Oryctolagus cuniculus: one gene and its partner. The protein of the gene in region 1 binds, or shares a complex with, the protein of each later gene. Links are inferred from orthologs where the notes say so. Each region holds a gene or a part of one and is shown in the gene's direction. Other genes may lie near its edges. The genes, in order: RABGGTB and synaptobrevin homolog YKT6.

Evidence for each region.
Region 2: the proteins of RABGGTB (region 1) and synaptobrevin homolog YKT6 are in contact, whole or in part, in a crystal structure (PDB 6J7F), measured with the Homo sapiens proteins. The link is inferred for Oryctolagus cuniculus from reciprocal best matches to the Homo sapiens genes RABGGTB and YKT6. Residues at the interface, in NP_004573.2 of Homo sapiens: Thr3, Pro4, Gln5, Lys6, Asp7, Ile9, Lys11, Tyr37, Leu45, Trp52, Leu236, Asp238, Cys240, Arg281, Gly283, Asp284, Met285, Asp287, Phe289, His290; in NP_006546.1 of Homo sapiens: Lys60, Gln62, Asp63, Leu65, Asn83, Glu84, Tyr85, Pro86, Ser87, Leu153, Asn155, Thr156, Glu158, Arg189, Lys190, Cys194, Cys195.

Annotation. Positions count from the first base shown.
Region 1 is NC_091438.1:96,206,559-96,222,685, reverse strand, and holds the start of RABGGTB (geranylgeranyl transferase type-2 subunit beta), read left to right. Parts: upstream 1-8,491; 5' UTR 8,492-11,010; coding exon 11,011-11,013; intron 11,014-11,780; exon of another isoform or gene 11,781-11,859; intron 11,860-12,035; coding exon 12,036-12,143; intron 12,144-12,394; exon of another isoform or gene 12,395-12,478; intron 12,479-13,166; coding exon 13,167-13,364; intron 13,365-13,495; exon of another isoform or gene 13,496-13,566; intron 13,567-14,795; coding exon 14,796-14,901; intron 14,902-15,655; coding exon 15,656-15,708; intron 15,709-16,079; coding exon 16,080-16,127. UniProt on the Homo sapiens protein: Catalyzes the transfer of a geranylgeranyl moiety from geranylgeranyl diphosphate to both cysteines of Rab proteins with the C-terminal sequence -XXCC, -XCXC and -CCXX, such as RAB1A, RAB3A, RAB5A and RAB7A.
Region 2 is NC_091453.1:62,998,448-63,013,315, forward strand, and holds synaptobrevin homolog YKT6, read left to right. Parts: upstream 1-6,502; 5' UTR 6,503-6,643; coding exon 6,644-7,240; 3' UTR 7,241-7,537; downstream 7,538-14,868. UniProt on the Homo sapiens protein: Vesicular soluble NSF attachment protein receptor (v-SNARE) mediating vesicle docking and fusion to a specific acceptor cellular compartment. Functions in endoplasmic reticulum to Golgi transport; as part of a SNARE complex composed of GOSR1, GOSR2 and STX5.

The DNA of each region.
Region 1 (16,127 bases):
GGCTGCTCCACTTCTGATCCAGCTCTCTGCTGGGAAAGCCATGGAGGATAGCCCAGGTACTTGGACCACTGCACCTGCATGGGAGACCTAGAAGAGGCTCCTGGCTCCTGGCTGCTGACTTCAGATCAGCGTAGTTCCAGCTATTGTGGCTATTTAGGGAGTGGACTAGCAGATAGAGGATCTCTCTCTTTCTGCCTCTGCCTCTAACTCTGTCTTTCAAATAAATATTAAAAAAAAAAAAAAAAAAAAGATACCAGTCAAGTAGGATTAAGGCTCTATCTAATATAACCTTGACTCCCTAAAGCAGGGGTGGGGCCACTTAGATATTCATAACATCATTTGGAGGTCATACAAATTTATCAACTTAAAAATTAGCCTGCTATAGATTAGATTTTTAAATTTCAAGTCCCACCTGTGGCTGCCCCGGTAGGGCCACACCAAATGATTTTCTGGGCTTCATACAGTCCATGGGTGAAAATTTTAAGAGCTGATATACACTGCCCATCAAATACTTGAAAGGAGATTTGTGTTGTGGTACAGTGGGTTAAGCTGCCTTGGCATGCTTGCATCCTATAATGGAGTACTAATTCAAGTCCCAGCATTCTGCTTCTGACCCAGCTTCCTGCCAATGCTCCTGGGAAGGTAGTGGATTAATGCTCAAGTACTTGGGTCCCTGCCACCCATGTGGGACACCCAGATGCAATTCCTGGCTCCTGGCTTTGGCCTGGCCAAGATCCGGTTATTGTGTGCATGTGCAAGTGAACCAGGAGTGGAAGATCTCTCTTTACCCTTGTTTGTGTTTGTTTCCTGTGATTATTTACCTAGGTACAGCTAGAGTGACAACCAAGTAGGGCTCTTCAAATTTGCTTTCAAATCTAGAGCCATGAAGTACTGAACTACTAATGTTATAGGATTAAATTTTGGCTCAAAATTTTCATAAGGAACCTAAGATAGGACTTTTAAAAGCCTCTATCATGTGCTATCCCATAGCTAGGAACCAAGCCCAAGAATCTCTCTACTAAGTACAAATTCCTGCAGTGTCTAAGAATTTAGGTGACCATCTGTCTTCAGCATCCTCAAAATTTGCTAAGGTTCCTGGCCTGCCAAGCCATGCCCTTCCTTACATCTGTAAGACTGTAACAGTTTAAGCCAGGGACTACTCCAGTTTTACTGGGACAGCTTTGTAGGAATTTGCTTCACATATAAAGCCACTTGTGTTTTAATCATGAGCTTGTCATAACTGATCGAGATTTTCCAATAGGTCACTCTAGACATGTCCTGGTTTCACAGTTAATTTTTTCAATTATATTCTGGTAAAAAGAAATACAGATTCCTATTGACTATTTCCAGGAAATATAAGGAGGCTGAGTACATATTTCTGAATTCTGAGGGTTTAGGATCACACAGCATTTAAAATCTCAGTTTATAAATGCAAAGTCCACTCAACAGAAATCCAGAGATAGCTTAAGAAGAATTTTAAATGGGCTTCTACATATACTATAAAAGGAGAAGATTTCATCGACAAAATACAATAATTAGATTTCCTTCATCAGTTCAGTCCTATGTAATTGTTCTGCTGGATCGTGTGCTATTATGGAGCAGCCTGGTTCTAGAGGAAACAAAGAAATGATGACTCAGTCCTCTGATATAGTTTGAAAGTTGTCTAACTTTTATCTACTTGGAAACATGTACTTGAGTCTGTTCTTTTGAAGTGTCTATCAGTAGTTCAATGTATCAGTAGCTTAAAGCATCTGATCCTTTCCCTGAGGCCTTTTCTATTTTTTGTCTGAACTAACAAGACATTCTGAGACTGAAGAATGAAGGAAGCTCCACATAAGAATAAGATATCTTACTAGGGAGACTTACATATGGGATGCCAGACAGGCCAGTCAGGAACTCTGGGCAGGAGTAGAATAATGACTGCTCTGTGCAGGGCAGCACAAAGGGCAAGATTTTGTACTTACAAACAACACGGAGACAGGGCAGAAAATTGTGTTACAAACATTCTTTTGTTATAAGATTTAGCCCTTTAGATGTGTTGTGCCAGAAAGATTTGTAATAACATTTAAATGTTACGGCTGGAGAATGGTGCCAGTTAGGCTGGCAGGTGGTCAGCACTCTTCTGAAACAGAGAGAAATGAACTACAATTTGCTGTCACACACTCCTCAAAGATACAAACTTTGACCTCTAGCTTACAGTAGAGTCTTTAAGCAAGCATCAAGGTTAAACTGAAACTATCTGGAGATGGCCAAGGCTGGACTATCGTAATTACCTCATCCAGTATCAGGATAGAGGGTAAAGTTCTCAATTTCACCACAGTACAAAACTATTTCATAAGAATTTAAGTTTCTTCCCCAGGGAAGAATTTTCCTCAGGGAAGAAAATTTCAGTTTCCTTCTCAGGGAAATGAGAGTACATTTCCAACATGTTCTCATAAGTGCACATTTCAGACATTCATATTAATATAAATTTTTAAAGATTTATTTTATTTATTTGAAAGGCAGAGCCAGAGACAGAGAAAGGGAGATTCAGAGAGAGGTCCCCCATTTGTTGGTTCACTCTCCAAATGGCTGCAACAGGTGGGGCTGGGGCTGGGCCAGGCCAAAGCCAGGAGCTTCACCTGGGTCTCCCAAGTGGGTATAGGGGCCCAAGCACTTGGGCCATCTTCCACTGCTGTCCCAGGAGCATTGGCAGGGAGCTGGATTGGAAATGGAGCAGCCGGAACTCAAAGCAGTGCCTATATGGGATGCTGGCCCTGCAGGCGGAGGCTTAACCTTCTATACCACAGAGCTGGCCCCCTATAGTAATAATATTTTACCTATAAAAATTTTTTTAAAAGATTTATTTATTTTATTTGAAAGGCAGAGTTAGAAAGAGGAGAGACAGATCTTCCATCTGCTGCTTCACTCCCCAAATGGCTGTAATCAATCTCCAGAGCTGAGCCAGGATGAAGCCAGGAGCTAGAGGCTTTTTTTGGGTCCCCAACATGGGTGAGGGTGCAGGACCCCAAGCACTTGGGCCATCTTCTGCTGCTTTCCCAGGCACATTAGAAGGGAGCTGGACAGGAAGTGGAACAGCCAGGCACCCAACTGGGATGCCTGCCCGCACCACAGGCAGCAGCTTAACCTGCTAAGCCACAGGACCAGCCGCTACCAATACAAATTTAAAGTAAGAAAGGCCAAGTTAGTCTTCTTTCTTATTTACCAACTTTTCCAAGAGCATTGACAGGAAATATGGAGCACATGAAATAAAGTCAATTATTTCTGACATCCTCTTTACATAAAGTAAATAAACACATTTTTGTGATTTTTCAGAGGCCCTGCAGAAAACTTCAAAGAGAACTGTAGGTATAAAATACAAATGTTTAATTAATACAAATGTTTAAATTAAACATTGGACTGTGGGAAGGTGAAATCAAAAGAGCTGTCAGACATCACTCGATTAAGTTAATATTAAAGGTTCTTGTCCCTTTTTATTTTTTAAAGATTCATTTATTTATTTGAAAGGCACAGTAACACAGAGAGGGAGGGAGAGAGACCCAGAGATCTTCCACCCACTGGTTCAATCCCTTAATGCCCAGAACAGCTGAGACTGGTCCAGGCCAAAGCCAGGAATCAGGAACTCCATGTGGGTCTCCCACATAGGTGGCAGGGACCCAAGAACTTGATCCATCATGGCTGCATTCTACACTCCCATAAGGGATGGGGACATTGTGAGCAGCAGCCTAACCTGCTGGACCACAACCCCACCCCCACCCCCCCAGCCTGTCCCTACTTAAAGGAACAATAAATATTTTAAAATAAATAAAGTATGAAAAAAATCCAGCATAGGATAATATAAGGAACTTAAGCTATTTTTCAAATGAGGCCTTTCTTTTTCTTTCTTCCTTTGTCTCTCTCTCTCTCTCTCTCTCTCTCTCTCTCTCTCCTTTGTCTCTCTCTCTGTCTCTCTCTCTGTGTCTTTTTTAAATACTTCATGGCTAGGGTTAGATGTTTGGCCTAGCAGTTGGGATGTCTGCATTCCTTATCATAGTACTTCAGTTAGATTGCTGGCTCCAGCTTCCTGACAGTGTAGACTTTGGGAAGCAATAGTGACTGTTCAAATAGTTGCATTCCTGCCACCCATGGGAGAGACCTGGATTGTGTCCTTGGTTCACAGCTTCACTGAGCAGTTGTGGACATCTGGGGAATGAGCCAGTATGTGGGAACTTTATCTGTCTTTCCCTCTCTATCTCTCAAATAAATAAAATTTTAAAAATAACTCAGGATGACAAAGTCATCCTGTGCATTCTGTCTGGTAAGACAGAATATCTGGGCCGGCACCGCGGCTCAATAGGCTAATCTCCGCCTTGCAGCGCCGGCACACCGGGTTCTAGCCCTGGTCAGGGCGCCAGATTCTGTCCCGGTTGCCCCTCTTCCAGGCCAGCCCTCTGCTATGGCCGGGGAGTGCAGTGGAGGATGGCCCAAGTCCTTGGACCCTGCACCCCATGGGAGACCAGGAGAAGTACCTGGCTCCTGGCTTCGGATCAGCGCGATGTGCCGGCTGCAGTACACCGGCCGCAGCGGCCATTGGAGGGTGAACCAATGGCAAAAAGGAAGACCTTTCTCTCTGTCTCTCTCTCACAGACCACTCTGCCTGTCAAAAAAAAAAAAAAAAAAAAGACAGAATATCTCCACTATCTAGACAGAAGGTAAAATATTAATCTCTCACATTGTTGGTGAGGGGGTTAATGAGTAAAACAAGGAAGCAAGCTCATTAAACAGAGTTCTTTGTTATGACATAAATTAATAAATTTATTAACTTATCCTATTAAAAAGTTTGAAAACATTTCATGGACATGTAATGAGAAGTCAAGGCCTTTCTCAATCACAAATTTACAGGCACAGAGTTTCAGATATAAAACTTAAGTCACAGAGCCGGCGCCGTGGCTCAATAGGCTAATCCTCCACCTTGCGGCGCCGGCACACCGGGTTCTAGTCCCGGTTGGGGCGCCGGATTCTGTCCCGGTTGCCCCTCTTCCAGGCCAGCTCTCTGCTATGGCCAGGGAGTGCAGTGGAGGATGGCCCAGGTGCTTGGGCCCTGCACCCCATGGGAGACCAGGAAAAGCACCTGGATCCTGGCTCCTGCCATCGGATCAGTGCGGTGCGCCGGCTGCAGCGGCGGCCATTGGAGGGTGAACCAACGGCAAAGGAAGACCTTTCTCTCTCTGTCTCTCTCTCTCACTGTCCACTCTGCCTGTCAAAAATTAAAAAAAAAAAAAAACAAACAAACAAACAAACAAAAAAAACACTTAAGTCACAGGCTAAAAATATACTTAGCTGCTCAGATTTCCAAGAGCTTTTCTCCTTCTCAGTAGGTAAGAAGTTCTTAATTTATTAACACTCATAACTATATGGACCAACACATCAGATTCTCTATTATCTTCCAAGAGAAAAATTATTCCTAACACTGACAGAGATCATCAAATGGAACAAGCAGTCTCAATCACTGCTGCCACTTCAGAAATAGCATACCATATTTCATTGATTAAAAAGTGACTAATTTATGGACCATGCTTGAATCTGCAACCAAAAACAAACACAAAAATCAGTAGGGAGGGAAAATCCTACATAAATATAGTTTAAAAAAAAAAAAGTTAAAGCCCTACTATTATTTGGGGGTCACTTTGAGAGCCAAAAAAAGATGTGCCTCAACCCAAGGTGTTTTCTTTTTTAAGGATTTATTTATTTATTTGAAAGAGTTACACAGAGAAAGGCAGAGAGAGAGAGAGAGAGAGAGAGAGATCCTCCATCCATTGGCTCACTCCCCAGTTGGCTGCAATGGCTGGAGCTGTGCCAATCCGAAGCCAGGAGCCAAGAGCTTCCTCCGGTCTCCCACGTGGGTTTAGGGGTCCAAGGACTTGTGCCATCTTCTACTGCCGTCCCAGGCCATAGCAGAGAGATGGATTGGAAGCGGAGCGACTGGGTCTCGAACCGGCGCCCACATGGGATGCCAGCACTACAGGCGGCGGCTTCACCCACCATGCCACAGTGCAGGCCCCTTAAGGTGTTATTTTCAAGCAATATACTTTACCTGACTCTGTGAGTCCATTTGGGTATCTGTGACCTCAAAGCTGGTAAAGCATAACCTTCAAAATGATAAAATCATGATGCATGCAATGTAAAATGAACATACCGATTTTTAAATAACTCTAATCAAGAGGGAACCAATCTATTATTATTATCTTTTTAAAGATTTACTTATTTTGAAAATTGGAGTTACACACAGAGAGGAGAGGCAGAGAGAGAGAGGTTTTCCATCCACTGGTTCACTCCCCAAATGGCCACAACGGCTGGAGCTGCGCTGATCTAGGAGTCAGGAGCTTCTTCTGGGTCTCCCTCGCGGGTTCAGGGGCCCAAGGACTTGGACCATCTTCTACTGTTTTCCCAGGCCATAGGAGAGACCTGGATCGGAAGTGGAGCAGCCGGGTCTCAAACTGGCACCCCATGTAACTGGCGCCCATATTGGATGCTGGCACTTCAGGCCAGGGCATTAACCCACTTGTGCCATAGCGCCGGCCCCCGAACCAATCTATTATTAAAACAAACTTCTATCAACCACTTTAAACCTTAAAACTTCAAATATTTCTTTTGTAAAAAGTGGCTTTCAAGGTCTTTCTTGTAGTTCATAATTAAAGTACACAATTTTTTTAAGATGTATTTTGTTTATTTGAAAGGTGGAGTTACACAGAGGGAGGGAGGGAGGGAGGGGGAGAGAGAGAAAATCTTCTATTGGCTGGTTCACTCCCAAAATGGCCACAATGGCCAGGGCTGAGCCAGGCCAAAGCCAGGAGACAGGAACTCCCTCCAAGTCTCCCAAATAGTTGCAAGGGCCAAAGCACTTGAGCCACCCTCTGCTGCTTTCCTAGACACATTAGCAGAGGGCTGGATGAGAAGTAGAGCAGCCAGGTCTTGAACCACTGCCCATATGGGATTCCAGCACTTACCCACCATACCACAGTGCCAGCCCCCAAACACAGCTTTTTAAAAAAATGCTTCTTTAATCTCCAATTTTACATAAAAGTTTGTTTTAAATGGCTCTCTGATTCTACTCCTTGCATTTTACCTATCTAGGGTTCCTTTTATTATTGTTAACTACTTAGTTATGAAGAGTTGTAATTTCAGGACTTTAGACAAAATTTCATTTGCTTGTACTGAATTAGAACTAGGGTGGAGGGGCCTGCAGGTTAAGCTGCTACCTGCAAGGTAAGCATTCCCTAAGAAGCCAGTTTGAGTCCCAGGTATTCCACTTCTAATCCAGTTCCCTGCTAATGTGGCTGAGAAAGCAACAGAAGAACAAAATCTTAAAAATAAATATAGAGTGGTAAAGAAATCAGAGACACATAAAATATATAGAAAGAAACACAATTTTAAAAATGGAATATGAAGCACATAATATGCTTCTTCTACATTTGCTGCTTCAGAAGCGACTTATTTACTACATTAATTCTATAATGCACATTTTTTAAATACTTAATGTCTCAAAAATCTGAATAGCCATATGCTTTATGACATTAGCCAGTAAGAACTTTTTCCACATTTCCAGAATACCAGAATGTTTAGTGAAAAGCAAGCTATTCTTATTATCCTATCTCCTGACCATCTCGTCTCCTTGCAGGCAAATGCTTTTAGCAATTCAAGACATATATTTTCCTTTTGTTCCCTATGCAAATAGTAGCAATCTATACTTTTTGATAATTTTTTGTGCTTGTTTTCACTTATGATATTTTGAAGATTATTCTGTTGCATTATATTTAATTTCCTCATTTTTTTAAGATTTACTTAATTGTTTGAAATTCAGAGTTATAGAGAGGGAAAGACAGGTTCTCTCCCTAGACAGCCCCATCAGTCAGGGCTGGGTCAGGCCAAAGTCAGGAGCCAGGAGTTTCATCCAGGTCTCCCACCTGGGTGCAGGGGCCCAAGAATTTGGGTCACCTCTTGCTTTCCCAGGCCCATTAGCAGGGAACTGAATCAGAAGTGTAGCAGGCAGGACTTGAACTGGCGCCCATATGGGACGCCGGCACTATCAGAAGCAGTTTAACCTGCTGTGCCACAGTGTAGGCCCCTCTTTTCTTTTTAATGGCTGCATAATGAATTATCACAGTTTTTTTTTTTTTTTTTAAGATTTATTTATTTAAAAGGCTGAAAGGAATGACAGAAAGAGAGAGAGGTCTTTATCTGCTGGTTCACTCCCTAAATTGCCCTAACAGAGTTGGGCCAAGCTGAAGCCTAGAGCTAGGAGCTCCAAGCTGGTCTCACACATGGTTGGCATGGACTCAAGTACCTGAGCCATCATCTGCTGTTTTCCAGGGACATTAGGAGAGCTGGATTGGAATTGGAGTGCTAAGACCCAAATTGATACTCTGATATGGGATGCAGGCATCCAAGTGGCAGCTTAACCCAATGTACCACAATACCATCCCACGATAGTGGTTTTTTCTTTAACTTTTTTTTTTTTTTTTTGGAGAGACAGCGAGTTCCCATTTGTTGGTTCTCCCCTAATGCCTGCAATGGCTGAGGATGGGCTGGGGCCAGAACCACTGCTTGTCTGGGTCTGCCTTGACGGAAGCTGGGGTCTGGAGCCATGCCAGGAATTGAATCCAAGCACTCTGACATGGAAAGTGGGCATCTTACCGGCTAGGCTGAATGTTCCTACTTAAACTTCTGATGGCCAATTAAGATATTTGTAAAATTATAAAAATGACTGTTATGAATATTCTTGTACATAAGTCACTTCACACCCAAGGGAATATATTTGTTGGATTAATACATAGAAATAGAATTGCAGAATGTGATTATAAGATTGTTAGAATATATTCTGTGTGTATTTCTATTTTGGTTATCAATGTACCCCTAAAACCAAAAATATTGGCACATTCTCAGTAACCATTACATATTTGTGGAAAGCACCTAGGAAGTAGAAAGTGAAGTATATTTTTCAATCCTTCAGCCTGTATTGACTCAATGTGAATGTTACTGAATTTGAATATGAGGCTTCCATAATTCTTTTTTTTTTTTTTTACATGTATTTATTCATTTGAAAGAGTTACATAGAGAGGAGAGGCAGAGAGAAAGAAGTCTTCCAACTGCTGGTTCACTTCCCTGTTGGCCACAACGGCTGGAGCTGTGCGATCCAAAGCCAGGAGGCAGGAGATTCTTCCAGGTCTCCCACATGGGTGCAGGGGCCCAAGGACTTGGGCCATCTTCTACTGCTTTCCCAGGCCATAGAAGATCCGTGGATCAGAAGTGGAGCAGCTGGGACTAGAACCAGCGCCCATATAGGATGCTGGCACTGGAAGAGGTGGCTTTACCCTCTACGCCACAGTGCCAGCCCATCATTCTCTCAAAATCTAAGTGCACACAAAGGTTTAAAGTAAAATGTTGAAGAAAAAAAATCCCTCTTGGGGCCATTGTTGTGGCAAAGCAGCTTAAGCTGCTGCCTGCAACACAGGAGTACCAATTCCAGCCCCTGCTGCTCTGCTTGGGATCCAGCTCCATGTTAATGTGCCTGGAAGGCAGTGGAAGATAGCCCAAGTACTTGGGACACTGCCACCCATGTGGGAGACCCAAATAGGAGTTCCAGGCTCCTTTGCTTCAGCCTGGCCCAGCCTTGGGAGTTGCAGCTATTTGGGCAGCAAACCAGCAGATGGAAGATCTCTTCTTCATCCATCCTTCTCTGTCACTCTGCCTTTCAAATAAAATCTTAAAAAACAAAACAAAACAAAACAAAACCCTCTCTTAGAGATAACTATTAATCAAAAGAAAGCTAGGGAAATTACTATTTAAAAAAGTAGATTATAATAAAGCAGATCTTAAAAAATAAATTGCCATTATTGGGGCTGGAGATTTATCTTCACTTAATGATTAAAGGCTTGAGGTGGATGTGTGGTCCAACAGTTAAGAAGTTGCTTGCGATGCCCCTATTCCATATTTGAGTGCCTGGGTTCAAGAGTCCCAACTCTGCTACCAATTCCACCTTCCTGGTAACCCACAGCCTGAAAGACAGCTGGTAATCCCTTCTGCCACCCATGTGGGACACCTGGACTGATTCCCAGTTCTGGGCTTCAGCCTGGTCTATTCTGGGTTATAGCAGACAATTTGGGGAAGTGAACAAGCAGATGGTATATCTGTCTCCCTGTTTCTGCATTTCAAATAAAAATAAAATTTTTAAAAAATATTTTTTAAAATGATGAAAGGCTCAACTCACCAAAACTAGATAACAATTCTGAACTCACATCCATTTAGTATAGTAGCCCTGGGGCTATAAATGCAAAATCAACATAATTACAGCGAGAAAGAATGTAACCTACCACCGCTGCGCCCTGGACTTGGCCCCTCAATTACGGAGAGCCCACTTGTCAGTATGTGAGCAACCCCTTTCCAAACTTACCATTGTTAGGGGACACGGTGCCCATATTTTGTAATGGGTACTCTAAGTGTAAAGAATTCACAAATGAAAATAGCTGTAACTCACCTAGCAAATTAAATTTTGTGGAAAACTCCTAACCAGGTATGTGGGTTTGTGTGTTTTTCTAAGTAATTCCGGGGCGGGTCCTGGAATGGTTAAGGCAAACAGGAATGGAACTTGAACAATTTATTAACATGTATTCAAAATAAATTCACCAAACACTTTCCATGTGCAAGCAGGCATTCCAGTAACAGTCCTTTCAGATATTCAAATCACAAACGACCCCAAGAACAAATAATTTCTTAAACGCAACTCACATTGCGTTTCAGACATTGGTGTAAACTCGGTAGCCGCAAACCAGCGCCGCGACCTTTCCTAACAGGCGGCGAGGACAGCTACGAACATCCGGTGGGGTCCTAGGACACGGAGTGGCTGCGTCCTTCAGGCAGGACTGTGGCCAGCTATGTCAGGTGGCGGAGGGGGCCTTAGGAGCGCATCTGCGCAGGCGCACGCCGTTTAAGTCTCCCGGGACAGCGGACTTTTCTTTCTTTTCGCTCCTAGACATGGTGAGTGATGGGTCTCAGCTTTTTGGTACTGTGTGGTTGGGTCGTAAGGAGACAGAGTGAGGTAGCGTAGAGCCCTGTAGTTACGATGTGGTTGTCCACCGAGTGTTGCAGGATGGTTGATTTAAGACTCTGGCCTTTGAAGTTTTCTGGAAGACTTGGGCTGAAGTGTTACTCAGCATTGCTGCAGACCTCGCGGGCACAGTCGCCGCTTCTAATTTTGTCCAGGCTTCCGCCTGTCTCGCAGGCCTCACTAGATTAAGCGACCTGATTTCATAATTACTTTAAAAGCCAGAACTGCTTGTTGGCTTTTTGTCCTTAACGAATACGTGTTATTTATAAATTTATTTTTTAGGATTCCCGAAATAGTTAAGATTCGTAGTGTGGTCTCGCTTGGAGACCTCCATCTTTAAATGGAATCAGGGAATTCGCTACATAATCACTTTGAGGAATCGTCGTGACCTACTTAGAGTAACTCCATTGCGGAGTTAGGAAGAGGTAGACGAGAACTAGAGCAGTGTCCTCATTACCTGGGGACTGGTTGGAAACCCAGACACTGCGATTGAGGGTGGAGAAGATGGAGTTGGAAAGACTCCTTCCTTGAAAATTTGAGTAATTTTGGTGGTGTGGAAGGTTCTTCGAAAACCTGAATTAGGTTCAGCAGGAATTGAAATTTGCGACATGTTTTTGATAACCTATGGTGTTTGTTTTATTTAGCTCTTAAAAGTGAATGGTAAGCAGCAACAAATGCAAGTGGTCCTTTTTTTTCAGGTCAATGATGAGCTGGCATGTATTCTGAATTTAAAGTTGATTATTACTACTTTAGCTCTAGAATTACTCTGAGACCTGAAAAATACCTGACCCTTGACTGAATGAGAACTATAATGCTTTACATTCTTTTTGGTCACTCACGTGCAATTGAATTTTCCTGTGACAGGATGAAATGAAAGTAAAAAAGTAGATTGAATGTACACTTTGAGAACAAAGTAAACATTGATAAGGTAACTCTTGTTTTGTTTTGCAAGGGTACACCTCAGAAGGATGTTGTTATCAAACCAGATGCTCCCAACTCCCTATTATTGGAGAAACACGCTGATTATATTGCATCCTATGGCTCAAAGAAAGATGATTACGTATGTATGATTTTATGTGGGAAAGTTTTTAAAGAGGTCTGTTAGGCACAAGCAGTAGGGCAGTGTTTTATGTCCTGTTTGTTAAAATTGTATACAACTGAAGATGTGCCCTCCAGATTAAGTGCATCGTGGATATGTGAGATTGGGGAGGTATATCAGAACCAAAATGGTACTTAGCAACGCCAGACAAAGTGGGTTAGGATTTTGAGGCATGATACAGGTTTCTGTTGTAGTTTGGGTGAAGCTTTTAAGGTCAATGATGTGTTGGCATGTATTACCTGAATTTAATGCTGATGTGTAATAACACTTTAGCTCTAGAATTACGCTGAGACCTTGAAAAAGTTTTACCTGAATATTTTTGAAAAAGAAAAGCAGTATCCCTTGGGACAATCTTAGGAAAATGAACAGATAGAGCTGGGAGTGGGTATTTTTTTTTCCTTAATGTATCTGATCAGCTAGATTACCTGGATTGTGGAGGACATCTGGTGTTGAAGTTTTGACTTAACATACTCTATACTCTGTAAATGCTGAATTTGGATTGGTAGCAAATTTAAGTTTTAGACTTCTCAAGTATAATCCATTGATAACTGAAACAGAAATTTGTTTCTAGAATCTTCATTTTCATCTGTGCATGCTATGATTTCCATGCTTAGGTAATTTCAAGTTTCAACTGGTTAATGTCATTACAAAATGCATAATAGGTGTGGTGCAAAGTCCATATATTAAAAGAATGAATACTTACCTGAACACTATGAGAAAATAAGCAGATGAATTTTCTAATTTACCTTACTTTTGGTTGGTGCTTGGGCAGAGCTAAACTCTTAGTGATATTAACCACATGAATTTTTTTATCATGCTTCACAAGTGATTGTTTTTTCTAATTAATGTTAAATTTATTGCTAACTAGTGATACTGTTATGATCACATGAAGTAATCAGTGATATGCCTATGAATTTGCTTTATGCATTTCACCACTTAAATCATCAATTCAAACTGACAAAGTTAAAAAATTATGTATTTTAGGAATACTGTATGTCCGAGTACTTGAGGATGAGTGGCATCTATTGGGGTCTGACAGTAATGGATCTCATGGGACAACTTCATCGCATGAATAGAGAAGAAATTCTGACATTTATTAAGTCATGCCAACATGAGTGTGGTGGAATAAGTGCAAGTATTGGACATGACCCTCACCTTTTGTATACTCTTAGTGCTGTCCAGGTAAATAACTTAAAAGTTTCAATTGCTTAATAGTAAATGCTCTTAAATGAAAGCCAGGAGTTGAAACTTTATCAGGAAGATGAAAAACTGATACTGTAAAGTTCCATGTACAAGTGGAGTCTGTCCTACAAGGTCAATGATGGAATGGCATGTATTAGCTGAATCACCATTGATGTGAATTATAAAATTACACTGAGACCTTGGAGGATTAAAAATTCTGTGCTTAATATATGTAAGCATTTGAAAGATATTTAAGTGGAGTTTTTAGATTTATTTATTGATTGGAAAAGGAAAGAAATTATCTGCTGGTCCACTCCCCAAATGGCCATAATGACCAGATCTGGGCATGTCCAGAGCCATGAGCTTCTCCCACATGGGTGCATGGGCCCAGGCACTTAGGCCATCCCCTGCTGCTTTCCCAGGTGTGTTAGGAGGGAGCTGGATCAGAAGTGGAACAACCAGGACAGGAACTAGCACCCAAAAGTGCCACATCACCAGCCCTGTTTTTTTTTTCCTTAAGTTGGAATGACAGGTCTTCATTCTGCTGAAGGCCAATACAAATGGTCACAATAGTAAGGGCTGGGCCCAGCGCCCAGGAAAAACGCCATCCAGGTCTGTGTTGGAGGCAGAGTAGCTGAAACTTGACCTAGCACTCCTAGGTAGGGTGCATGCAAACAAAGTGGCAGGTTAGTTCATTGCCTCAATACTTAATGCCAACCCATATGACTTAAAGACTCATTGAAAAAAAATTTCTATTTATTTTGAATTGTTTATTTGAAGGAGAGAGACCTACCTTTCATCTGCTGCTTATTCCTCAGATGGCCAGGGCTGGACCAGGCCAAAGCCAGGAGCCTGGAGTTTATATGGGTCTCCCACATTGTTGGCAGATTCCCAAGGACTCTCTGCCTTCCCAGGTGCTCTGATACAGGAGGCACAGCTTAGCTCAATGCACCACAACAACTTAAAATACTATTTTGGGGGGGGGCATTGTTGTACCATAGTAGCTAAAGCCTCCAGCTGCAATGCCAGCATGCCATATAGGTGTTGGTTTGAGTCTTGGCTGCTCCACTTCCTGTCAACCTCCCTGCTAATGCACTTGATAAAGCAGCAAAATACAGCCCCAAGAACTTGGGCCCCTGTACCACATGGGAAACCAGAAAGAAGCTCTTGGCCTCCGGCTGGCCCAACTATTTCTGTATGTAAATAAGTACTTTTACATACAGTATATTTGAGTATTTTGGGATGCTGCATTGTAGTTTATACGTGGAAAAATAATTGCTTTTTGGTTAGTGTCTCAATTTTGTTGACTAACAAGATTGTATATTGGGGGAAAGTTTTCGGTATACACTCAGACATGCTTTATAACTTCAAAGATAGTTGAGGAGAGGGCATCAGAACAGAGGGCATTAACTTAATGTTTCTTTGTTGCAGATTCTTACTCTGTATGATAGTATTAATGTTATTGACGTGAATAAAGTTGTGGAATATGTCCAAAGTCTACAGAAAGAAGATGGTTCATTTGCTGGAGACATTTGGGGTAATGTCATATTTAGTCCATGCTTCCCAAATACCAATATTAAAATGTCCTCACTTCGCTTAGAGCCAGTTTGTAGATTTTTTTTTAAGTATTTCATTTTTTCAGGTCCCACGAAGCAGCTGGTCTAATTGGAATTAATGGTCTGCTGGAAGTTCCAGCATGCACTGTGGTAGTTATAACAGCATACAGGAGCACTGGAACAGAGGGGGCCAGTCTAAAAGATAAGGTAGGTGAAATTTTTTTCCCCCAATATTTGGTGGTTTTGTAAAGTTTTTAAAAAGTACTTGCTGGAAAGGGAAAAATACTTCTAAAAAAACTTTACAAACTTACTGAATATTTGTGTGGAGGGAGGGAATAGGATTTTTATTTGATAAATGTAGATAATCTGTGTTTTAGGGCTAAACACAGTGCAGGCCAGAAAGACCAGCTGCTTCATGGGATGTGAAAATCTACTTTTTATTAAATAAGGGTAAGTTTTATTTTTTTTTTTTGAAATTAGCTAGTTTTTTTTCAGATGTTTCCTTCCCTTTCTGGACCCCCATAAACAACATTGATAATTTGCTGTTATTTTTGACAGAGTAGTTTTTTAGTTATTAGACTTAGAACTTCAGATTTAAGCAGTTCTGACTACCTGATGTTAAGCTTGAACTCTTGGAAATTCAAGCTAGTAGGTGTACAGATTTTGTTTTTAGGTAACTTGTACTATATCAGAAGGAAGTCTGATAATGGTTTGATTGATTCCTTTTTGTTTTAGGAGAAATTGATACAAGATTCTCTTTCTGTGCGGTGGCAACGTTAGCTCTGTTGGTAAGCTTTGAAAATACTTAAGGTTTGTTTATTTGGAAGGCAGAGTGACACACAGAGGTTCACTCCCAATTGTCCACAAGAGCCAGGGACTGGGCTAGGTCAGAGCCATGCATGGTCTTCCATTCGGTGGCAGGGATCCCAAATACATGAGCCATCACTGCTGGGTGTACTTCACAGAAAGCTGGATTGGAAATAATAACTGAGAATCCTCTATTCACACACTTTGACTTGGGATATGAACAGATGGGTGGCCATCCCAAGTGTGGCCCAGCCTGCTGCACCACAGTGCTTGCCCCAAGCTTTGAATATTGAAATGATGAAGCATCCATGAGGACTTTTGAAATTTAACAGGCATATTTCTTTGTTTATAGGGGAAGCTTGATGCAATTGATGTGGAAAAAGCCATCGAATTTGTTTTA
Region 2 (14,868 bases), on another chromosome or scaffold:
AAATGTGAAGAAAAAAGACAAGACATCATTACTGATTTGATCCCAATCATTACAGTGCTATCTCATTAGTATAACAACTCCATAAATTTTGATTTTGTTTCTTTCTCATTAAAGGAAATGATAAATAAAATACAAGTAAAATAGAGTACATGCAACTTCTACATTCTAGTCTATTCTGAAAATTGCTCTAATAAATTTCAGGTTCAAGACCCTATTACCACTCTACTGGGTTTATTAAAAATGCATTTCTAACAAAATGAATAAATAAAAATGAATATTTTACTGTCTTTTTATCAGCAGCCACCTTCTTCTCTATATTCCAATGGTTGATGTACAAGTAAGCATAAATATAAATACTAAATTGCAGCTGAGAAAACCTGAGCCACTGAAGTCACAGCTTAAATAGGACTATTTAAACCATACTGCATAGAACATGGTAACATTTCCAAAATGTGTCACTACTACTAGAACCTTTGATAGATAAAGTAAGTACTGGCCTGAAATTCATGTTAATTTATATTTTTGTACTATCAAGATGGTTTGGAGTGTTTTAGTAATTTAAGAAATTTTGCTCTGGGAAAATTTCTTAAATTCTAGGTCCTCTGGAAAGCTCCACTTGAGCAACTTAAATCCAGTTTACCCCTAAACAAATGCAGTGTCTTACACTTAAAATCTATCCATTTGCTCATATGCGGTTCCTGGGCATGAGTCCATCATCTATCCAGTACTCCAAAAGAGAAGACAGGCTTTGCCCATCAACACAAGCGCCAATTCCTTCCATGTAGCCATTTATCAAATCCCCACAACTCTCCCACATGCAGCCCACGTTAGCTTTTTGCCATCTTCTTCACCAATCCATGCTACCATAATACACTTCTCTGTGCCTTGTTATTTTATATCTCTGGGATTTACCTGTGCTTCTCTTCCTGTGTCAAAAACATCCTTCTTTGAATAACTAGCCCTTAGTGTTTCCCACTTGATTCATTTCAGCCAATACTTCCTCTGAGAAGTCTTCCCTGAAAACTCTAATGATCATAATCTGTGTTATCAGTAGGTTTATTTTTAAACAGATTATTTATTTTTTACTTTATTTGAAAGAGGAGAGAGAGAGCAAGAGCGAGAGAGAGAGAATCTCCCATCCACCAGGAAGCTGAAGATACAAGTTGGAACCAGGAATTGAACCTGGGTATTCCAATGTGGAATATGAGCATCTTAACTACAGGCTAATTGCCCACTCCCATTCCTCAGAAATCTGAAAATAGATCTACCATATGACCCAGCCATCCCACTCCTGGGAATGTACCCCAATGAAATCAGCATATGAAAAACTTACCTGTATCCCCATGTTTATTCTCAATAAATAATTCTCAGTAGTTCAATTCACAAGAGCTAAAATATGAAATCAACCCAGATGTCATCAACTGATGACTGAATAAAGAAATTGTGGTATATATACATGATGGAATACTACTCAGCTGTAAAAAAAAGAATGAAATCCTGTCTTTTTCAACAAAATGGATGCAATTGAAAACCATTATGCTTAGTGAATAAGCCAGTCCTAAAAAGACAAATATTGTATGTTTTCTCTGATATGTGGCAGTTAGTATAGAATATAAAAATGTATAAGAATTAAATGAATATCTTGTGATATGATTATTGTTTTTAGCCCTTGACTATACTTTTGTGGAACTGTGGGCTTCCTGCTTTTTACTTGTTGAATATTATGGCTAGTGGTGAATTAAAAAATAAATAAGAGGTACTGTGTGTGAACTACTGAACACAATTTGATCCATAGTATATTAATAAATATTTAATTTAAGTTTTATAAAATAAAAAATTCTAAATCAACATCAGTATAAAACTGTTACTCTTGAGGCTGGTGTTGTGGAACAATAGGTTAAGCCACTGTTTGCAACACCAGCAATCCATATCAGAGTGCTGGTTTGAATCTTGACTATTCTGCTTCTAATCCAGCTCCTTGCTAATGCTCCTGAGAAGGCAGTGGAAAATGGCCCAAGTGCTTGGTTCACAGCCACCCATTGTTGCTCCCCTTCTTCGTGGAGGAACGACACAGGACCCTGCCTAGGCTTCATATCCGAGTCACGGCACCATTATGTTGCTCCCCCTCTTCGCGGAGGAAGGACACTAGACCCTGCCTAGGTTTCCTATCCGAGTCACGGCACCATTATGTCGCTCCCCGTCTTCGTGGAGGAACGACACAGGACCCTGCGCTGTTCTTTTGTCTGCTCAGCCCTCCTTGGGTTTGCTGCTGGTTCTTCCCGGGTTGGCTACCGTCCCTTCCACCTCCGTGGAAGGGCGGTTCCCCCTGCCACTTTCCCCACTTCCGCGGGGGAACGGCACACCGCTGGCTGGCTCTCTCAGGGGCTGCTCAGATGTTCCTTCAGATAGATGTTCCTGGTGCATGTTGCTCTCTCCTCCTTTATAGTCCTCTTCCACCAATCCCAACTCTGCTACCCACACGCCGAGTACGCTGCTCTCCTCCAATCAGGAGCAGGTCCTGCTGTTTATTGGTTGAACTGGAGGCAGCTGTGTAGAAGCTGTTTCCTCCCTTCTCAGCGCCATATTGTGGGAGAGCAGATGCATAGAATAAGTCTTAATTCCAGTAACTTAGTCTAGTCCAAGTTGCTCCCAGTTGCTCCCCACAACCCATGGACGCTGATGGAGTTCCAGGCTCTTGACTTTGACATGGCCTAGCCCCAGCCATTGTGGCCACATGGGGAGTGAACCAATGGATGGAAGATCTTTCTCTCCCTCTCTCCCTCTCTCTTTCTCTTTCTCTCTCTCTCTATCCTTCCTCCCTCCCTCTCTTCCCATCTCTCTGCTTTTCATAAATAAATCTCAGAAATAAAATCCTACTCCTTAATGTCCTAAAACATGCCTTCATAATCTCTTAAATAGTACCTCTAGGTTTTGAATTTACTCAAGTAAACGTTCTGTCTTTCACCATCACTCTTCCCTTCATCTGTGCTCCAATCATATTTACTACTTGCAGTTCCTGAAGGCACCATGCTCTCTTAGATTTATGGGGATTTTCACATGCTGCTCCCTATGACTAAAATATTCTTAATTTCTCTATATATCTGGGTTAGATATCCATCTTCTGAGTTTCAGTAGTAATGCTTACATTCTATTTTCTCCAGCTGTCCATAGAAGACTGTGAAGGGATTACTTTTATTTAACTACATTTCTAGGGACTAGCATGGTAATTGAGACATTCCATGTGATCAACAAGAGTCAGAGGTAGTTGACTGAATGCATTTAAAATAATCATCAGATATTTTCTTTCTTTTTAAGGATTTATTTTATTTATTTATTTGAAAGCCAGAGTTACACAGAGAGAGAAGAGGCAGAGAGAAAGAGAGAGGGCTTCTATCCACTGTTTCACTTCCAAGATGCTGCAATGGCCGGAACTTCGCAGATCCAAAGCCAGGAGCCAGGAGCTTCCTCTGGGTCTCCCACACGGGTTCAGGGGCCCAAGGACTTGGACCATCTTCTACTGCTTTCCCAGGCCATAACAGAGAGCTGGATCAGAAGTGGAGCATCTGGGACTCGAACCAGAGCCCATATGGGATGCTGGCACTGTAGACAGCAGCTTTACCCACTACACCAAAGCGCCAGCCCAGTTTTTTTTCAATGTATAGCAATTTAGAAGTAGCAACACACAAGTAAATATCTGGTACATTAATTATAATAAATATTTCCTAAAGGCAAATTTCTTGATTACCTGAATTTTGTGACACTATTATTCCAGTTATAGGAATGGTATGCCTTTGAAATTTGTAAATGCCTTATGTAAAAACAAATACTTCAGAATTTTCTGCTGTTCCAAATTAGAGAAGTCTTGTGGGGAGCAACTGGGAGCAACTTGGACTAGACTAAGTTACTGGAATTAAGACTTATTCTATGCATCTGCTCTCCCACAATATGGCGCTGAGAAGGGAGGAAACAGCTTCTACACAGCTGCCTCCAGTTCAACCAATAAACAGCAGGACCTGCTCCTGATTGGAGGAGAGCAGCGTACTCGGCGTGTGGGTAGCAGAGTTGGGATTGGTGGAAGAGGACTATAAAGGAGGAGAGAGACAACATGCACCAGGAACATCTATCTGAAGGAACACCTGTGCAGCCCCCGAGAGAGCCGGCCGGCGGTGTGCCGTTCCCCCGCGGAAGTGGGGAATGTGGCAGGGGGAACCACCCTTCCACGGAGGTGGAGGGACGGTAGCCAACCCGGGAAGAACCAGCAGCAAACCCGGGGAGGGCTGAGCAGACAAAAGAACAGCGCAGGGTCCTGTGTCGTTCCTCCACGAAGACGGGGAGCGACATAATGGTGCCATGACTCGGATATGAAGCCTAGGCAGGGTTTAGTGTCGTTCCTCCACGAAGAGGGGGAGCGACATAATGGTGCCGTGACTTGGATAGGAAGCCTAGGCAGGGTTTAGTGTCGTTCCTCCACGAAGAGGGGGAGCGACATAATGGTGCCGTGACTCGGATATGAAGCCTAGGCAGGGTCCTGTGTTGTTCCTCCGCGAAGAGGGGGAGCGACAAGTCTGAAAAGCTACCATCTTTTATTTTAATGTTTTTTTTGAGTGAAGAATGGATTACATAGTATGTCTATCCAAACAGCATAAACATTCTACACTGAGGATGTATCTATAACAAATATAATTTAATTTATCTATTAGCAAAATTTATGTATTATTTCAAATAATATTTAAAATTTATATATTATTCCAAATAATACCCAAAAGCATGTGCAGAGGCTTCCAGAGAAGGGTGACCATAAAGTAAATTTCCCGAGTTCTTTACTGAGAGAGAACTCATTGGGTTCCAGTAGTTACCACTGATTCTTCATCTACTTTAGTCTCTTTAATGCAACACTCCACATCTTTATCTCAGATAGAACCCCCTATTACTCAAGAACCTAATAAAAACTCCTAACTCCAGTGAGGAAATGTTTGGTTTTCTGCTCTGAATACTGAATGAGATCATTATACTTATATTGACTTGTATTGATACAGAGATAAGCTCAAAGTTAACTAATAGTAACTAAGCCATAAGGCCCAGAGCACACAGGATGAGAAGAAATAGGTCATGTAGGGAATGATCAGCAGAGAAGACAGGATGACAAGCAGGAAATTATCTAAAACAATAACAACAGGAGATGAGTCATGCAAACAGTCCATATTGTTGGCACGTAGTAGTTAATTGCTCCTTTCAGAAGTCTGAGAAGAATTTGAAACTGTACAAATCACTAGTACCAGAAAACTATCAGTATCTTGCTATCCATTACTCTCCCAAAATTCTAAAACTATTGTAATTCAAACTTGTAGTATTGTACATTTCATTTCAGATTCTTTTCGTATAATTTATAGGAGGAATAATTCTTTGCACTTTTCATGTTCATAGAACCATCTTTCTCTTTTTAGTGTGTAGTGTCAGTTATCTAAATGTTGATGAAACAGTAATTGATAAATTTCAGTTATATGAAATTTTATTTAGACATATTTCTTTGTAATTCTGGGATTCGATAAATAGAGTATGTTGTGTATAAAGTAACTTAATATAGGCAAGGTTAATCAGGTCATAATAAAGCAATCCTTTATTGATGGAAGATCTAATTTTGTTAGGTTTAACTTTATGATAGTATATAACTTTAACCTCAAAAGAAAAAAAATTAATTGGGTTTCCCTAACATCTTTGAAAATATGAATTTAACCAAGACTTTCTAATACATAATATCTTTCTTATTCCTTGAAGGAAGTTACATTATCTAAAAAAGGCTTGTTCATTGCAACAAGTGTTTCAGTTAAAAACACTTTTCTTAATTACATATTTTGATGTCCAGTTATGAGACTCTGAGTTGCGCCGATCCGAGGCCAGGAGCCGGGAGCTTCTTCCAGGTCTCCCACATGGGTGCAGGGGCCCAAGGACTTGGGCCATCTTCTACTGCTTTCCCAGGCCATAGCAGAGAGCTGGATCAGAAGAGGAGTAGCCAGGACTAGAACTGGTGCCCATAAGAGATGCCGGCGCTTCAGGCCAGGGCATTAACCCACTGTGCCATAGCGCTGGCCCCACCCATAAACTTTTAATTCCATTTTCCAACAAATGTTTTGAAGTACTCTCATGTTTAAGAAAAGTAGGAATCTGGCTAAGAACACTGATCATCGCAGCAATTTAATCTGTGCTATTCCTATCAGTCCCTTGCCAGATGTGGGGTACTTTTGAATGCCAAGACAAAGTAACACCAGCAGTCTAGAAGCAATTGACGGGAGCAAAATAGGGTTGGAGCTCAATTCCCAAAGAATTGTCATTATTTGAAATGACTTCTGGGTCTTTCAAATCTTATATAATTTCACTTATATGGTTGTCTATATGTGACCTGACTCAGCTTGTCCAGTGTGAACAACCTTTTCACCAGAAGAATCTGTCCAAGATAATCAGAGACAATGGTAGGAAACAGATGCTGGATAAAAGTTGTGGCAAGGAAGCTCCGGCGGCTTGGTCAGCAGCTGGGCGCGGGGAGGCCGGGAGGCCGGCGGGCGGCGGTGGGGAGCCCCGGAGGCGGCCGCGCTGCTCCCTGCGAGCCGGCCCCGCGGCCAGGCGGGGGGCGCCGGGGCGCGGCGCCATGAAGCTGTACAGCCTCAGCGTCCTCTACAAAGGCGAGGCCAAGGTGGTGCTGCTCAAAGCCGCGTACGACGTGTCCTCCTTCAGCTTCTTCCAGAGGGCCAGCGTCCAGGAGTTCATGACCTTCACAAGTCAGCTGATTGTGGAGCGCTCGGCCAAAGGCAGCAGAGCTTCCGTCAAAGAGCAAGAGTACCTGTGCCATGTCTATGTCCGGAATGACAGTCTCGCGGGTGTGGTCATTGCTGACAGTGAGTACCCGTCCCGGGTCGCCTTCACCCTGCTAGAGAAGGTACTGGACGAGTTCTCCAAGCAGGTCGACAGGATAGAGTGGCCGGTGGGGTCCCCTGCCACAATACAGTACACGGCACTGGACGGTCACCTCAGCAGATACCAGAACCCTCGAGAAGCAGACCCCATGACTAAGGTACAAGCGGAACTAGACGAGACCAAAATCATTCTGCACAACACCATGGAGTCTCTGTTAGAGCGAGGGGAGAAGCTGGATGACCTGGTGTCCAAGTCGGAAGTGCTGGGAACACAGTCTAAGGCCTTCTACAAGACTGCCCGGAAGCAGAACTCCTGCTGTGCAATCATGTGACGCAGCATGCGCGGCCGCGCTGGGCCGTCACCGTCATCACATCAGGACCGCAGCCCGGACGGGAGAGGCCCCAGGTGGGGCAACCTGGCCATTTTTATTCTGGAATTTCTGGAAGGACCCACGGGGTGGTGGAGGGGTGGGGACGTTCGCATTCGTATGTCTGGTGATTTTTCGAAAGAATCTGAGGCCCCTGACGGTGTATTTTTGGGCAAATGAAACCATAAACTGAGTGGCTCCTGTGGGTACTGAAGGGCTGATCCCAGCCACCCCGGAAGTGCAGAGCCAGCTCTTGTTTGATCCTGGTATGTCTGGGTTTTATTTGTGCATTAACGATACTAACTCTCCAGGAAGCGGGGTGGGGGTGGGAGCCTCCCGTGACAGGGCCGGTGGGCAGTCAGCACCTGGGGAAGCTGCCGCAGGAGAGGGCGGCCCAGCGCCGGGCCTGGAGCCTGGCAGCGGGCCAGCACTCGGGCCCAAGGACGCGGGGCATCGCCTGCGCTGTTCACCTGCCTGTGCCAGGGCCGCCCAGCTGACACTTGATGCAGATACGCTCTTGGGGGTGTGAGTCGTGTCCCGGCGTCCCGGCGTCCTGGCGCGTGGGGTGTGTTCCGCTGGAAGACCCGCACAGGTGATTCGCTGGCCCGAGGCGGGCGCGCTGCCTTGGCTCGGAGTTTGACTTGAACACCCAGGTGGAAGCAGCAGGTGCCGCCGTCTCGGAACGCAGGACTGCGGGTGCCTGAGCACATGGGCCCTTCCGTGGGCCCAGCAGTTGGAGTGCTCCCATCACCCGCCTGTGGTCAGGGGCAGGCTTGGTCCAAGCTGGCCCCTGCCCCCGAGGAGGCCACTGTGACCGCGGAAACCAGGTGCCCTCGTGCCAGTGCCACATTCCAAGCCGCCTCGTCATGCCCCACTGCGCTCAGCCTGCACCCCTGGGGTTCAGTCCCCTCGTCGCTGGACAGTGTCATCTGCGAGTTTTGAGCCAGTGTGGCCACATCCTCCTGAGCCTACCACACTGCTCTGGCAGCTCCCACTGTCCCCACGGGAGGGCCTGGTGGCCCTGACTCCCTGACGGGGTGAGAGTGCACAGTGGGGGGGGCCTTATTCTTGTTCTGAGGGCTCCCTGGCTGTTCTACCTGCAGCTGCCTTTTGTCTCCGGCCCCTGGGCTTGCCCAAGGGCTCCAGCTTACCTGCCATGGCCTGCTCAGGTCACTTCCCACTGCTGCAGAACCCCCAGCCGGGGCCCTCTGGGAGGTGCAGACCCAGCCCACACACTGGGGCCTCAGGTGGAGGGGGGGGACCCGGATCTTGCAGGAGGAGGAGTGCTGGGGCATCACCTCTGCACGTCTGCAGAGGATGCTGGGAGATACGGGGTGGAGGTGTGAACTTGGAGGAAGAGGGAGACCTTTGTCCACAGCCCCTGGCCCAGCAGGGCAGCGGGGGCAGGTGGGTCTGACTCTGGCCCTGTCTTTGATGGGCACCCGCCCCATGCTTCCCTGCTCCCTGCTGTATTCGGAAGTCAAATCATTGGTGAGAGTGTATTTTAATAACTGCTGCCTCACTTCTCTGTGTTCTGTTTGAGAAACTCCCGTTGGGATAAAATTGTCTTCTGAAAAAAAAAAAAAAAAGTTGTGGCAAAATATTGGCCAAATAAAATCACTGAAATTAAAAGCTGAGGGTGAGCATTTGGCAAAGCAGTTAAACAGCTTGAGACACCTGTATTGCATATCATAGTGTCTGGGACTGAGTGCCAGCTTTGCTCTTGATTCCAGCTTCTTGCTAATGTGCACCCTGTGAGGCAGTGGGTGATGACTCAAGTAGTTGGGTCCCTTCCACCCCCAAAGAAGACTTGGACTGAGTTCTGGGCTACCGGATTCAGCCTGGCTCAGGCTTCACTGTTGTGGGCATATGGGGAATGAATCAGCAAATGGTTGATCTTGGTCTGTCTCTCTGTCTGTTGTCTCTCTCTGCCATTCAAATAAACAAAAATAAATATAAACTTTAGAAAATGAAAAGCTGACAAATGAATGGTACTTAACTGGTTCTGAAAAGCTGAGCTGGGCATATTCCTATAAATCTGAAATATCTTGCATGTTTCTATGACATGCATACAGTCAAGAGAGACCTCCTGAATAGGTACTAAGCCTAACATTGGCAAATTCTGAGGCTTTGAGCTAGCAGGAAGTAAAAGCTGAGATAGAGTAGTAAAGTGCTTGACTAAGTTTTCGAAGAACACAGAATCCCTCAGCAAAGACTGGGAGATTTACCGGTTACAGGTGTTTAGGAAAAGCTTTTTTCAATCTTTAGGTGACCATTAAGCCAAAAGAAGAAATACTTTGTGGCTATGCAGGACAAAGAATACAAATTTTGTGAAATAAATTGAGATAAATAATATAAATAAATAAAAATAAACAATTTAATAATAAATATAAATGATAAAAATAAAATAAATTGATATAAAAAAAAATCTGGAAACAACCAACCCTGAGTTGGAGTGTGTGTGTGTGTGTGTGTGCGCGCGCGTGTCTGTATGTGTGTTTGGGGGAAGAGTAGAATGTGATTTCTAGAGTTGCCACAATATATTTTAGATAAAATGCCCAGTTTTAAATTGTATACACACACAACCATACACATAGTGGAAAGACACACAAAAAAATCCACAATCCATACACATGGGAAAAATGCAAATACAAATTGTCCTGAGGAATCAAGCATTAGACTTACTAGGCAAACCTTCTAAATCAAGTACTTCAAACATGTTCAAAAACTAAAAGGAAGCATGAGAAAAATATGTCAACAAAGAAAGAATATTTACAGGCACAGAATTTTTCAAAGGAAACAAAAAGAAACTTTTGAGTAAAAACATATCAGTAATTGAAATAAAAACATTACCAGAGATTTCCAGTTTCAGGGCTGGCATGTAACAAGCTTAGAATCACCATTCTGACCTAATAGGTTAAAAAAAAAAAAAACCAGAACAAGAGAATAATTATAACAAATCATCCCAGATCTCTCAGATAAGTGGCACAATGGAGCAAATGGCTACCTCAAACACTGAAGAAACTGACAGCAAATACAAAGAGTCTTTCTTCAATATTTTTCACTGAAATAAACTTATCTTTTAATTCCATTTGTCAGCAAATTTTTAAAGTTTCCTGGGCCGGCGCCACGGCTCACTTGGCTAATCTTATGCCTGCAGCACCGGCACCCTGGTTCTAGTCCCGGTTGGGGCGCCGGATTCTGTCCTGGTGCTCCTCTTCCAGTCCAGCTCTCTGCTGTGGCCCGGGAGGGCAGTGGAGGATAGCCCAAGTCCTTGGGCCCTGCACCCCATGGGAGACCAGGAGGCTCCTGGCTTCGGATTGGTGCAGTGCACCAGCTGTAGCGGCCATTTGCGGGGGTGAACCAACGGAAAGCAAGACCTTTCTCTCTCTCTCTCTCTCTCTCTCTCTCTCTCTCTCTCACTGTCTAAATCTGCCTGTCAAAAAAAAAATTTCCCTGGAAAGAGAAGAAATCCACAAGCAAGGACTTCCATGGGAACACTAGTATTAGGGCAAGAATGCTAACTAGTAACGAAAAAGCCTATAAAGCTACAAAATTCCATGATAAAAATAAACAGCTAAATTCAGAATACTCTAACAGTGATTTTAGTGACAAAATAACATCTTTAACATGAAATTTGAAAAACTTATTAAAATAATAGCTACAACAATTTCTTAAGGGATATTCAACATAAAATGATATAAATCATGGCAACAAACGAGAAAATTTGGGGTACCAATGCAGTAAAATACTGGATTTTTAAGAATGCAACTGAAGTTGTCAGCTTAAAATAGCCTGCTTTAACTGTAAGATGTTTTATGTAAGCCTCATGGTAACTAAAAAGCAAAGCAGTTAAGTAGATAAACGAAAGGCAGGATCAACACATCATACTGAAGAAATTCATCTAATCACAATGGAATTCAGCAAGAGAGGAAATAAAGAACAAAGGTTCCATGATACAGCCAGAGAACAATTAACAAACCAGCTATAGTAAGTTGCCACCTATCAAAAATCACCTCGAATGGACATGAATTAAATTCTCCAATCAAAAAGCCATACAATGGTTAAATGAATTAAAATATAAACAAGGACCAACTGTGTACTGCCTAGCAGACACTATTCACCTTTAAGAACACATATATATATATTTTTTTTCAAGCTAAACACACTTTATTGTTACTCTAGGCGACTAGGAGGAGAGATCGCTCAAGCCTACTCTTGCGGGCACTAGGCACTATGGACCAGGAGCTTCTCCCCGCCGGCACTAGGCACTACAGACTGGGGAGAGGGAGGCTGAGCAACCTCTGGTTTACAGCGGCTGAGGGTACCTTTATATACAGTTTCTAGAGGCTAGCCCCGCCCACATTCTGACCCCCCCAGGGTCCCGTCGTCATGGCAACGACAGTTTGTGGTTAGGCCGCCCTTTTTCAAATCTTTGTTTATTTATTTATTTATTTAATGAGCATAAATTTCCAAAGTACAGCTTATGGATTACAATAGCTTCCTCCCCCCCATAACTTCCCTCCCACCCACAATGCTCCCCTCTCCCACTCCCTCTCCCTTTCCCCTTCACATCAAGATTCACTTTCAATTATCTTTATATACAGAAGATCAATTTAGCTTATATTAAGTAAAGATTTCCACATTTTGCTCCCACACAGAAACGCAAAGTGTAAAATACTATTTGAGTACTAGTTATAGCATTAATTAAACACCTAAGAGTAATTGTGTATTAATTACAGAGTTCAACCAACAGTTTTAAGTAGAATATAAAATGCAACTTTTGTATTGTTGTGGCTCCCCGCCCCAACCTCCCTCCCTCCCGTGGCCCTCCCCTCACCCACTCCCTCTCCCATCCCGCCCTTCATCACGTTTCATTTTCAATTACCTTCATATACTGAAGATCAACTTAGTATATACTAAGTAGGGATTTCAACAGGCTGCACTCACACAACCGAACCAGGTATAGGGTATTGTTCGACTAGTAAGTAGTGTTGTTTTTGAGTTTCATAGTTAAACACATTAAGGACAGAGATCCTGCGTGGGGAGCATGAACCCAGTGACTCCCGTTGTTGATTTAACAATTGGCACTCTTATTTATGATGTCAGCAATCACCCGAGACTCTTTCTATGAGCTGTCTAGGCTATGGAAGCCCCTTGAGTTCACCAACTCTGAACTTGTTTAGTCAAGGCCATATCACAGTGGAGGTTCCTTCCTCCCTTCAGAGAAAGGCGCCTCTCTCCTTGATGGCCTGATCCTTCTGCTTGGGTCTTGTTCACCAGGATCTTTCATTTAGATTGTTTTTGGCCACCGTGTCATGGCTTTCCATGCCTGTGAGACTCTCATGGACCTTTTAGTCAGATCCGAATGTCCCAAGGGTTGATTCTGAGGCAGGAGTGCTGTTTTGGGCATTTGCCATTCTATGAGTCTGCTGTGTGTCCTGCTTCCCCCGCAGGATCATTCTCTCCCTTTTGATTCTATCTTTCATTATTTGCTTACACTGGTCTTATTTGTGTAATCTCTTTGACACTTACCCTATCTTTTTGATCGGTTGTGTATTTATACTTATCACTTTACCAAGTATGCTGGCATTGGTACCTGCCTCCTTGGTAAGGTTGAGTTGAAATCCCCTGGCACGTTTCTAGTTCCACCATTGGAGGTAGGTCTGAGTGAGTATGTGCCATCCTCTATATCTCCTCCCTCTCTTATTCCCACTCCCATGTTCCACAGAGATCAATTTTCTGTTAATTTTTAAACGCTTAAGAATGGTTGTGCATTGATTGCAGAGTTCAACCAGTGGTCTTGAGAACACACATATATTGAAAGTAAAAGGATGGGAAAAGACAATCCATGCAAACAGAAAATGAAAAGAAGTAAGAGAACCTATATTGATGTAAGAAAAAATAGACTTTCAGTCAAAAACTGTAAATGAGGCAAAGAAGACAATTATATAATGCTAAAGGTGTCGATTCACCTAAAAGTTATAACAATTATAAATATAAGTACACCAGTCACGGAGAACATAAATATATAAAATAAATAGTAATAGATGTTAAGAAAATGATACACTGCAATAAAATAACAAGCTCCAATACTCCACTCTCCAAAATGGGCAGATTACACAGACAAAAAAAGGAAACATTGAACTTGAACTACATTATAGCATGGTGGGGAAACTTTTTCTCCTAAGGACCATTTGGATATTTATAACAACTTTTGCAGGCTATACAAAATTATCAACTTAAAATTAACCTGCTATAGACTTTTAGAATTTTGAGTCCTGCCTGTGGTTACCGTGGTAGGGACAGACCAAATGATTTCACAGGCCTTATGCAGCCTGCCAGCTGAACATTCCTCGTCCCTATTAGATCAAATGAATCTGACAAACATATATAAAATATTTCATCCAATAACAGTAGAATATACATTCTTTTCAGATGCACATACAAAATTCCTCAGGATAGATCATATAATTGGCCACAGAACAAATCTTAATAAATTTAAGAAGATTAAAAGCATATCAAGTATCTTGTCCATCCACCATCATATAAATCTAGAAATAAACAATAGGAGGTATTTTATTTAAAAGTTAATAACAAATGTCTGAATTACCAGCAGGTGAAAGTTGAAAGGGAAATTTTAAAATGCCCTAAGATAAATGAAAATGACAACATAACATACCAAAACTTATTGGATGTAACAGAAAGCACAAAATAAATGAGCTATCAATGCATCACAAGGACCTGAAAAAACAACAAACCAAACCCAAAATTAGTAGGAGGAAAAAAATAATTAGAATTAGAGAAGCAATAAACAAAATTGAAACAAGAATACAAAAATCAGTGAAATGAAGAGCTGGCTTTTTGAAAAAAAAAAAAAAGCAAAATTGACATGCCATTGGCCCAACTAACCAAAAAGAGAGAGAGAAGACCCATATAAATAGAATCAAAGATGATAAAGGAAATTTAACAACAGAGACCACAGATATAAAAAGAATCTTCAGGAATTACTACAAAGAACTGTATGCCAACACAGGGGGAAACCTAGAAGAAATGGATAGATTCCTGGACACATGCAATCTACCAAAATTGAGTCATGAAGACACAGAAAACTTAAACAGATCAATAACCAAGACAGAGATTGAATTAGTAATAAAGACCAACTAGCTTTACTGCTGAATTCTACAACATGTTTAAAAAAAGAATTAATTCAATTTTTCTCCTGTTATTTAAATAACTGAAAGGTATAGAGTTCTCCCAAACTCCTTCTATGAAGCCACATAACCTTAATTTTTAAACCTGAAAAAGATAAAACAGAGAGAGAGAACTACCGACCAATATCACTGAAGAACATAGGTGCAAAAATCCTCAACAAAATGCTAGCTAATTGAATCCAACAACGCATCAGAATGTGCTATATTGCATTAACAAACTTAAGAATAAAAATCATATGATTATTTCAATAGATGTTGAGAGAGCCTTTGCTAAAATAAAACATCCTTTCATGATGAAAACTTCATGGAAATTGGGTATTGAAGGAACATTCCTCAACACAATCAAGGCAATTTATGACAAACCAACAGCCAGCATCT